2 linked regions of the Xenopus tropicalis genome follow. The protein of the gene in region 1 purifies or fractionates together with the protein of each later gene. This does not show direct contact. Links are inferred from orthologs where the notes say so. Each region holds a gene or a part of one and is shown in the gene's direction. Other genes may lie near its edges. The genes, in order: arid4b and sap130.

Evidence for each region.
Region 2: the proteins of arid4b (region 1) and sap130 fractionate together in Homo sapiens (co-fractionation; 4 studies listed by BioGRID, with this or other methods). This does not show direct contact. The link is inferred for Xenopus tropicalis from reciprocal best matches to the Homo sapiens genes ARID4B and SAP130.

Annotation. Positions count from the first base shown.
Region 1 is NC_030681.2:55,944,129-55,948,719, reverse strand, and holds the start of arid4b (AT-rich interactive domain-containing protein 4B), read left to right. Parts: upstream 1-1,472; 5' UTR 1,473-1,867; coding exon 1,868-1,869; intron 1,870-4,591. UniProt on the Homo sapiens protein: Acts as a transcriptional repressor. May function in the assembly and/or enzymatic activity of the Sin3A corepressor complex or in mediating interactions between the complex and other regulatory complexes.
Region 2 is NC_030681.2:125,400,680-125,404,501, reverse strand, and holds part of sap130 (histone deacetylase complex subunit SAP130), read left to right. Parts: intron 1-1,171; coding exon 1,172-1,293; intron 1,294-1,969; coding exon 1,970-2,293; intron 2,294-3,267; coding exon 3,268-3,445; intron 3,446-3,822. UniProt on the Homo sapiens protein: Acts as a transcriptional repressor. May function in the assembly and/or enzymatic activity of the mSin3A corepressor complex or in mediating interactions between the complex and other regulatory complexes.

The DNA of each region.
Region 1 (4,591 bases):
AGTTTTCTCCTAACAGGGGCACCAGCTGGGGTAAAAGGTAAGCGATTAAAGTCACTGGGGGGTGCCTAACATTTTGGCACCCCCAAGTGACTTAGCCTTTCATCACTAGCATAGGCAGAAAATAAAGATTTAGGAAGAATAAACCTCTGCATAAAGTAATGAACCACTATATATTAATACATGATACATATTATTAATATCCTGTACATGATATTTATATATATATATATATATATATATATATATATATGTGTGTGTGTTTGTTTGTACTTAGTAATGTCATCAGTGCTCAGTGATGCTCACTGAAACGTGTGTTTTATAATAAAAAAATATAATATCAAATAATAGAATTTAAAAATATAATATGTAAAAAATAAATAAAAAAATGCACCCCTATTGTAAAATATGAAGATATTTCAAGTCAACTCAGAGTTCCACGACCTGCGATACTCTTTGGTAACTTATAATATCCTTATATTTTACAATAGGGGACACATTATTCACTGTATAATTATAGGTAGCCGTTCTCCAATGGTAAGTGTTAAATTAATATCTTCCCCTCAAAAATGTCACCATTCTACCATGATCATTAGAGTGTGCACAAAACTCCCACTTTCTATAATTCACTCTCTTTAGTCAGAAAAGGCTAGCAGCATTAACTGTAAAAGTGAATTATTCATATATTATTAATATAGTCATATTATAAAATGTTACAAATATGTTATTATACAACAAAAAAAAAGTATTTGCGTGTGCTACACGTCATTCAATAGGCTCTATGATTTGCAATAAGCAGCACTAGCAAAATTCCAACAACACAGGCTAGAAGGGCCAAATTGCCTTTATACATAAACTTATAAACCTGAATCTCATCCACTTCTGTCGATCACTGAGAAGCAATGGCCAAGGGATGTACAGGTCAGTTTAGGCGAACAGAGTTACACACCCCACAGCGATAGAGACAGATGGATCACCCTCAGTCGTAGACACTTACCTTGTAATGTAATGTTTACACTTGTGATTTCCCAGGTCTAACCGAATCTAAACCTGTGTGTATGGGCAACAGCAGCAGTACCTCCTTACACGTATCCTGTCAGCGAAAGCAAACGCTTTTTTCCGCTAACGAAGCTCCACACCCAAATAGGAACCCGCCCGGCTCCCTCATTCGCATTCACAACTACAGTACGCATTGATCCAAGCCGTATGCGCAGGCGCATACCTTGTGCCTCTATAAAAATAGCTTTACCGCACCGACAGTTTGCACTGCCTTCTGGGATATGTAGTTCATTAAGCGCAAGGCTTCATGCTCTGAGGGGTGTCGGTTTACAGCCTGAACTAAATTCCCCATCATCCTTCACTTAAGTGAGCTAACCTTTCCCTTAGATTTGCTAAGAGCCAATTGGAAAGAAAAGGCGGTCGCTCTAACTAGAAAGGCTACCCAATGAGAGACTGCAGAGGGAGGATGATGCTGACAGTTAGTCCAGTCGGTGGGAGGAGCTAGCGGTCTGGATGACGGAACGGGCCGTTTGTCCGGTGGGGGGTGCAGAGTGAATCTTCGGGAAGAAGCTGAACGAGCTGACAAACCTGCTTTGTCACTTTGCAGGTGCCCTGGCGCCCACCTGGGCACTGCTGGGGATACCGAGAAGCATTGGTGTCGTGGAGCAGGTGGGGGGGAGGGAGGTGACTTGTTGTGTTGGGATAACGCTGCCGAGCAGCCGTCGCTGACTGAAGAGGAGAAGGAGGTGGCGGCGGCGGCTGCAGCTTAATCCGTTGAGGGTTAAGATACCCGAGTTTGAGAGCTTTCAGGGACGCATCAAGGCTCTGCTGAAGAAAGGAAGAGACGTACCGCCGCACCGAGCATCCACTCATGTAAGAGTCATTTCTTTCCTCTCTCTGCTTTCAGTATTGGGAAAACACGCAACCCCCTGCCGGGATGCAAGATACCCGGAGAAGCAGCATCAGGAGGGTGCATGGCACAGGCGCTTTATGCTAGATGCCGCTGCATAGGGTTCATGTGTGGATTTTTCGATAGTTTATTCTTGGCTTTAATCCAAACATGCTCAGACCTGCGACCCTCCAGCAGTTGTTGATCTATAACTGGCAGTTCCTCTTCCCTAAGCCTTTAATAGTCAGGGAGAAGGCTATGAGGGAGGTGGAAGACATAGTTTAACAACAGCTGTCAGGCTCGCAGGTTAGACGTCCCTGCTTCAGCCCCATGTCCTAGTGCCCTTCCGCTGGTATTGGTGTCGAGCTTCCTCTTGTTCTGTGCAGCCGGTTACAAGCTGCATTTCCTATCTCCCCGTCCTCACATGCCCCCCAAAGGTGTACGTGCCCTGTTCTCTCTTTCTGCTGCACACGTTCCGCTGGCTGCATTGTACATTGTTAGTGCATCGGGCGGGGGTAGTGCATGGTGTTTGCAGTCCTGCAGCAACATCTCCCGTGCTCACAACTCGACAAAATGCCGGCTTTCAGCCGGGTACCAAGTAGCATCCACATGGTGTGTTAGAGCTCTCTTTGTATCCAGTTAGGAACACAGCTGTCTATGTTCAGCCCTAGCCCAAAGTTTTTGCTTATGTACTTGTTCTCTTGGGCAGTAAAGCTGGGGAGAAGCGCAGTCTCCCGTTTGACTGGTGTCGAATTTCAGCTACTAGCTTCTCCAACCCCTCGAGTTGCTGGTATTTCTATTCAGCATATTGTAGGCTTGCAAGGGTACCCAGTACTACGATTTTCGTAAACGTTAGCTGTCAAGGCAGCCTTGTACCCTACTAGACAGGCCGGCTTCCTATAGATCTGCAGTAACCTTGCGTGTGGTTACCTGGCAAATACAGCTCCGTGTACATCGAGCAGGCGTATAGATGCCAGTGCAGCTTCATTGCAGCCTTAGGGGAAAGTTACAGAGTAAGGACGCTGCAGCCCGCGTTATATCATGCTGCAGCTTAATGGTATGAGAGCGGTACAACATGGCAGAGCGATATCAGTAACAGCGGAACGAAGAAGTGGTGCTGTTTTTTGTCATGTGACTGGCATCTCCCGGCGCCGCGCTATGCAGCCACTGGCAGGTGTCTGTTGCTCAGCCTTCTCCGCCCTTTGTTTTTTTTTTTTTTTTACTCCTACGTTGTTATTGTTGCTTTTTCCAGTCTTTTTCTTGCTTATTTGCCGTTGATGCATCTTTAGTTGCACTGTTTACGCCCCAGTCTGATTTTGTTCATCTTCCCAATACACTTGGCCCGGGGACAGAAATGGCGTCATTTGTTGAGTTAGCATTGTAATGTGGAAGCATTTATCAACAGTACTAAAGATGAGGCTGTAGAAGCGTCGGTGCAGCAGCTTCAGTACACAAACAGCCTTAAAATTGATACAATGCCGATCAAGCTAAAATGCAGATGCTACATGTTTGCTTCCTGAGCGGGGAGGACAGTTGCCTACTTGATACATAGTGTTGCTCTGTGTTTTCTTTGTTTAAGGTGTTAACCGTTTGGCTCTCTCATCGTATAGCTTTAAGCATCTTTATCTCTTTCCGTCTATTTCCATTATGTGTGAGCTACATTACTATATGCAGTCGGATTTGAAGCTGAGTCTGTTATAGTTATTAGCGTTTTTTTAATGCTATAATAGTTTTGGGGTAGAGGAGAAATATTTGTTCTATAAGAAAATTCACTTATGTCTTGATGGCTCTTTCAATACTTGTTGAACTATAAAATAAGACTATATAATGTCGAAGTCATTGTCAAATTATTGCATTTTGTTTGTCTTTTGTGGCAGTAATAATAACTGTACAACACTGTAGCTGCTAAAAATCTGTATTAGCTGTCAGAAAATCTCTAATTCCTCTTGACTGGGGACAAAACTCTCTTCTGTTTGCTATATAATGGTACAGTAATACAGTATGCAGTGTCCAGGCTTGCATCAATCTCTTTTCCAAGTATGTAATTAATAGTGATAGGAACAAGCATTTCAATGATGTGAAATGATTGAAGGTTCCAGCACTCCAGTCTTTCCTGTGATCAGAACATATTTTGAAATGTTTCCACTTAAATTATTTATTATTTAATTATTAAACCCCTGCATGCAAAGACCAAAGCAGTGCAAGTTGCATTTATCAGGATGTCCTATTAAAAACAAAAGAAAGAAAACAAAGCTCTGGTATATGCAATGCTGTTGAAATCTGTTTGTTTTATTTATATACTTTACAAGTAACATATTATGTATATAACATTATGGGGGGTTGCTAAAATGCAATTTTCTCTCTCATTTTTATTCATTTTTTTTTAAATTGAATTCACAAAAAAAAACCCTTTCCTTGAATGGTCGTCATTTCACAAAAATCCGAACTGGAAAGTAAAAATAGGGAAAAGTTGGAAAAAAGTTTTGAAAACTGCAACTTATCACATGATAACCTTGACTTTTTCTTAATGTCGCACAAAAGCCAGAATCAAACACCTGAAAACCAGGAAGCAAAGAAACATCTTCCAATTGTAAAAGGGACATCTGCCATTGACATCTACATGATCTCAACAGGCTTTAGCTTTGTATTTTTGGATTCAGAATTGTTGCTGTTTTGTTGCATAATAAACCTCAAAGTTGAGCTTTT
Region 2 (3,822 bases), about 69 Mb from region 1:
GGGCTCTGGCACACGGGGAAATTAGTCGCCCGCGACAAAACTCCCTGTTCGCGGGCGACTAATCTCCCCGAGTTGCCATGACCCGCCATCCCACCGGTGGGATGGCACACGTGGCGGCGCGATTTCCCAAAATCGCCGAAAAAGACTTGCGAGTGCATGACCTTACATTTATCCACATTAAATCTCATCTGCCACTTAGCTGCCCAGATTGCCAGTTGGTCAAGATCCTGCTGCAGGGATGTCACATCCTGGTTAGAATTGACTGGTCTGCAGAGTTTTGTGTCATCTGCAAACACTGATACATTACTCATAATACCCTCCCCTAAGTCATTTATGAACAAATTAAACAAAAGTGGACCCAGTACAGAACCCTGAGGGACCCCACTGAGAACCTTATTCCAAGTAGAGAATGTGCCTTTAACAACCACCCTCTGTACCCGATCCTATAGCCAGTTTTCTATCCATGTGCAAATGACTTCACTAAGACCAATAGACCTTAGCTTAGAAAGCAGTCGTTTGTGGGGAACGGTATCGAATGCTTTGGCAAAATCCAAATAGATTATATCTACTGCATCCCCACTGTCCAGCTTCTTACTTACCTCATCATAAAAAGCAATTAAATTGGTCTGACATGACCTGTCCTTCATAAAGCATGTAAAAAGTTCGGATCTAAAATCAGAGATGATCCCATGTGGGCTTTAGGATAAACAAATTACATACTGCCCTGAATGTTTTCCTTTTTCTCTATCTTTGCCTTTGGTAAATGAGGCTAGAAAAAAGGAGGTTTGTAAGCTTTAATAAGCAGGTTCCTCTTACCACCTGTATGGATCAGTGTTTGTGTGTAGTTAAATGTATTCTTATTCTGTTTTACTGTGTAATGGAATATGATGATCCTTATAAATGTCTGTAAAATATAATAACAGAAACAAACAAGAATTGAAAACCACTTATCTAGGAATGCATCTATCATTAGTCTGACATTGAATATAAGTAGGTGTACACTTGGGGAGAATTCTGAGACAAAAATAAAAAAAAGAATCTAAAGGAAAGAGAGAGGTGTCTTACACATGTACACAAACTCATGCATACACATTATTTCCTCTCACTTCTTGTTAAAATTTACCCTTGGTCAGATATATCTTTTAATCAGTAACCTTTTTGTGTTTTGCAGACAACCTGTTCCAGTGCAGTTACAGTACTTTCTACCAACCTATCCTCCGTCTGCATATCCCCTGGCAGCACACACTTATACCCCCATTACTAGCTCTGTGTCCACCATACGACAATACCCAGGTTAGTATCTCAGGAAAACATTTAGGGGGAATAAAAGTGGGTATATTAAAATAAAAAGCTGCTGTTAAATAGTTTAATGTGGTGAGAGATATATACACACAAATATACAAACACATGTACAGTAAGTATACCACTCAACAGGTCATATTATTGTGACAAAAATATTTTATAATAAAATAAAAAAAAATTGTTGAGTGCTATACTTACCTAGTGTATATTGTTTCAGTTATTAGCACCCAGGAGTTTAAGTAATAGATTACAACAATTGATGGAAACGATTGTTGAAACAATTGTGTATTTTTGTGTCAAATAATTATTCATTTGTTAAGGTGCCCATACATGCACTGATATTATCGTATTGTATGATAATGTATGTTGGATTGACGAGGTGACCAATATCACAAAAGCCTTGGATAGTGGTTGTTTCGTCAGTTGGGTGGGACAGAAAATTTTGATTGGGTGCCTTTGAAGGTGCCCGAGCAAGCATTTAGCCCTGAATTATCAGATAGGGGCAGAATTTCTATTTGTTTTTACCTCCAAATCTGACTATTCAGCTCTCAACATTAGTGGAGGGTACGAACAATCTTTTTCCTGCGACCAGTGGTTGCAGAAAAGATTGTAATGTGTATGGCCACCTTTAGAAGGTAATTTGGCTAACTTTTATTTTTTTTTTTAGTTTCAGCTCAAGCTCCAAACTCTGCCATCACGGCCCAGTCTGTGGCTTCCACAGTCCACCTGAATCCAATGCAGCTGATAAACATGGACACATCACACACACGCCACATTCAGGGAATCCAGCCTGCTCCAGTTAGTGCACAGGGGATACAACCATCTCCTTTTAGTGCACAGGGCATCCAGGCAACACCTATAAATACCCAGGGAATCCAGCAAACTTCAATTAACACCCAGGCAATCCACCCTGCAACATCAATAACTAACCAGGGAGTTCAGACCTCTTCAGTCAGCTCACAGCAAGCTCCAAATGAACCAAAGGCTTCTGGTAATGATATATGCTATTCCATGCAATGGTACCACAAAGCACAGGAATGATTTAATGAGGATGTGTGATGATTGATTCTTAGAATAAGCTTAATAATCTGTTCTGAAACGTTTTTCCTTAGGTGCATTTATTCTTACTTTCAGTGTAGCATCCGCAGCAAGTGTGTGCATTTTGGCATATTAGTTAATGATGTGCCAAGTCTTACTATGCTATGTCTGTATGAATTGCACTCTCCGGTGACAAATATTGATAATGGATATTCCTCTGGTCCTCTCCCTAGACAGGGCTAGACTTTTGTAAGATTGAAAAACACTATACAGGCCCACATGGGCAGTTCATTTGAATTTCCATGCAAATATATGATAGATATGTCCCACTGCCACAGAGCTGTCTGAGATCATTGCTGCTATACCCTTTTTTCACTCATTAAGCACATAAATGTAGAAGTCCTCCTGCTAGTGTAGACGTCATTTCTTTCCTCTTTCTTTCTTTACTAATCTCTTTTTTCTTCATCTTTATCACTCAATACTCACCAATTAAAAAAAAATATTGTAATTTAAATGAAACATATTGGTGCTTTGTTTGCATGTGTTTTCATAGCTGTACTTTTCACCTCTGAAAAAAAAAAAAAAAACCCCCAAAAAAACTTAAAGGTGAAGAGAAAACCCGGCAGAACTACTCTACCCTGCGTGTGTAGAATGTGAAGCGCCAAAGGATAGAAGATTGAAGGCGCAGAGATGCCGGTGCAGTACAGGTAACTTTTCCATGGGCCGGTGCACTTTTCTCTTAACAGCAGCACCAGCCCAAGGAAAAGCTTAGCAATCTATTTCACTAGCAGGGGGTGCCTAATATTTTGGAACCCCCCCCAAGTGAAATAGATTTTTAATGTCCTTTTAATGTTGTCAGAGTTTGATTTTTACATATGTGTAGCTCTGGTTTAGATTTCAGCTGATCTATACTACTTTCCACTACAGTTGTACTTGCTGAGGGTGCCACAATTGTTGCAAATCCAATAAACAGTACTTTCAGTGCCACACCTGCTGGCACTACAGTTATGCAGAGCCACAGTCAGAGTCCTGGGATCAGCAGTTCCCCTGCACAGGGGTCCTCTCCTCGACCCAGCATCCTACGAAAGAAACCTGCAACTGATGGGTGAGTGCTAAGGATTAAATGTGGCATGTGTGTAGCGTGTTAACACCAAGCCCCAGAAGGCATTGTATGGGGCCAAAATTAGGCACATGTTCGGGCTGATTTAAAAATCCTGTCGTAGGCGCTCCTCATCACAACCGCTTAAATCCTTTTAATGTTAATGTTTATCCCTCAGCCCAAATAATTCGATCAATCTAATGTCACCAAGGTGGGCATATCAGGGCGAGGTCAACAACCGTGCACATTTTTTTAATGTATGGCCACTGTAGTTTCACTGGGGCAATTTAGAACCTATGTTACATTTTACACATTGATATGATAAAGTGCATTAGTCAATAAATCAAATACTGCATGTAAAATAACACAGATCTTAGAGTTGT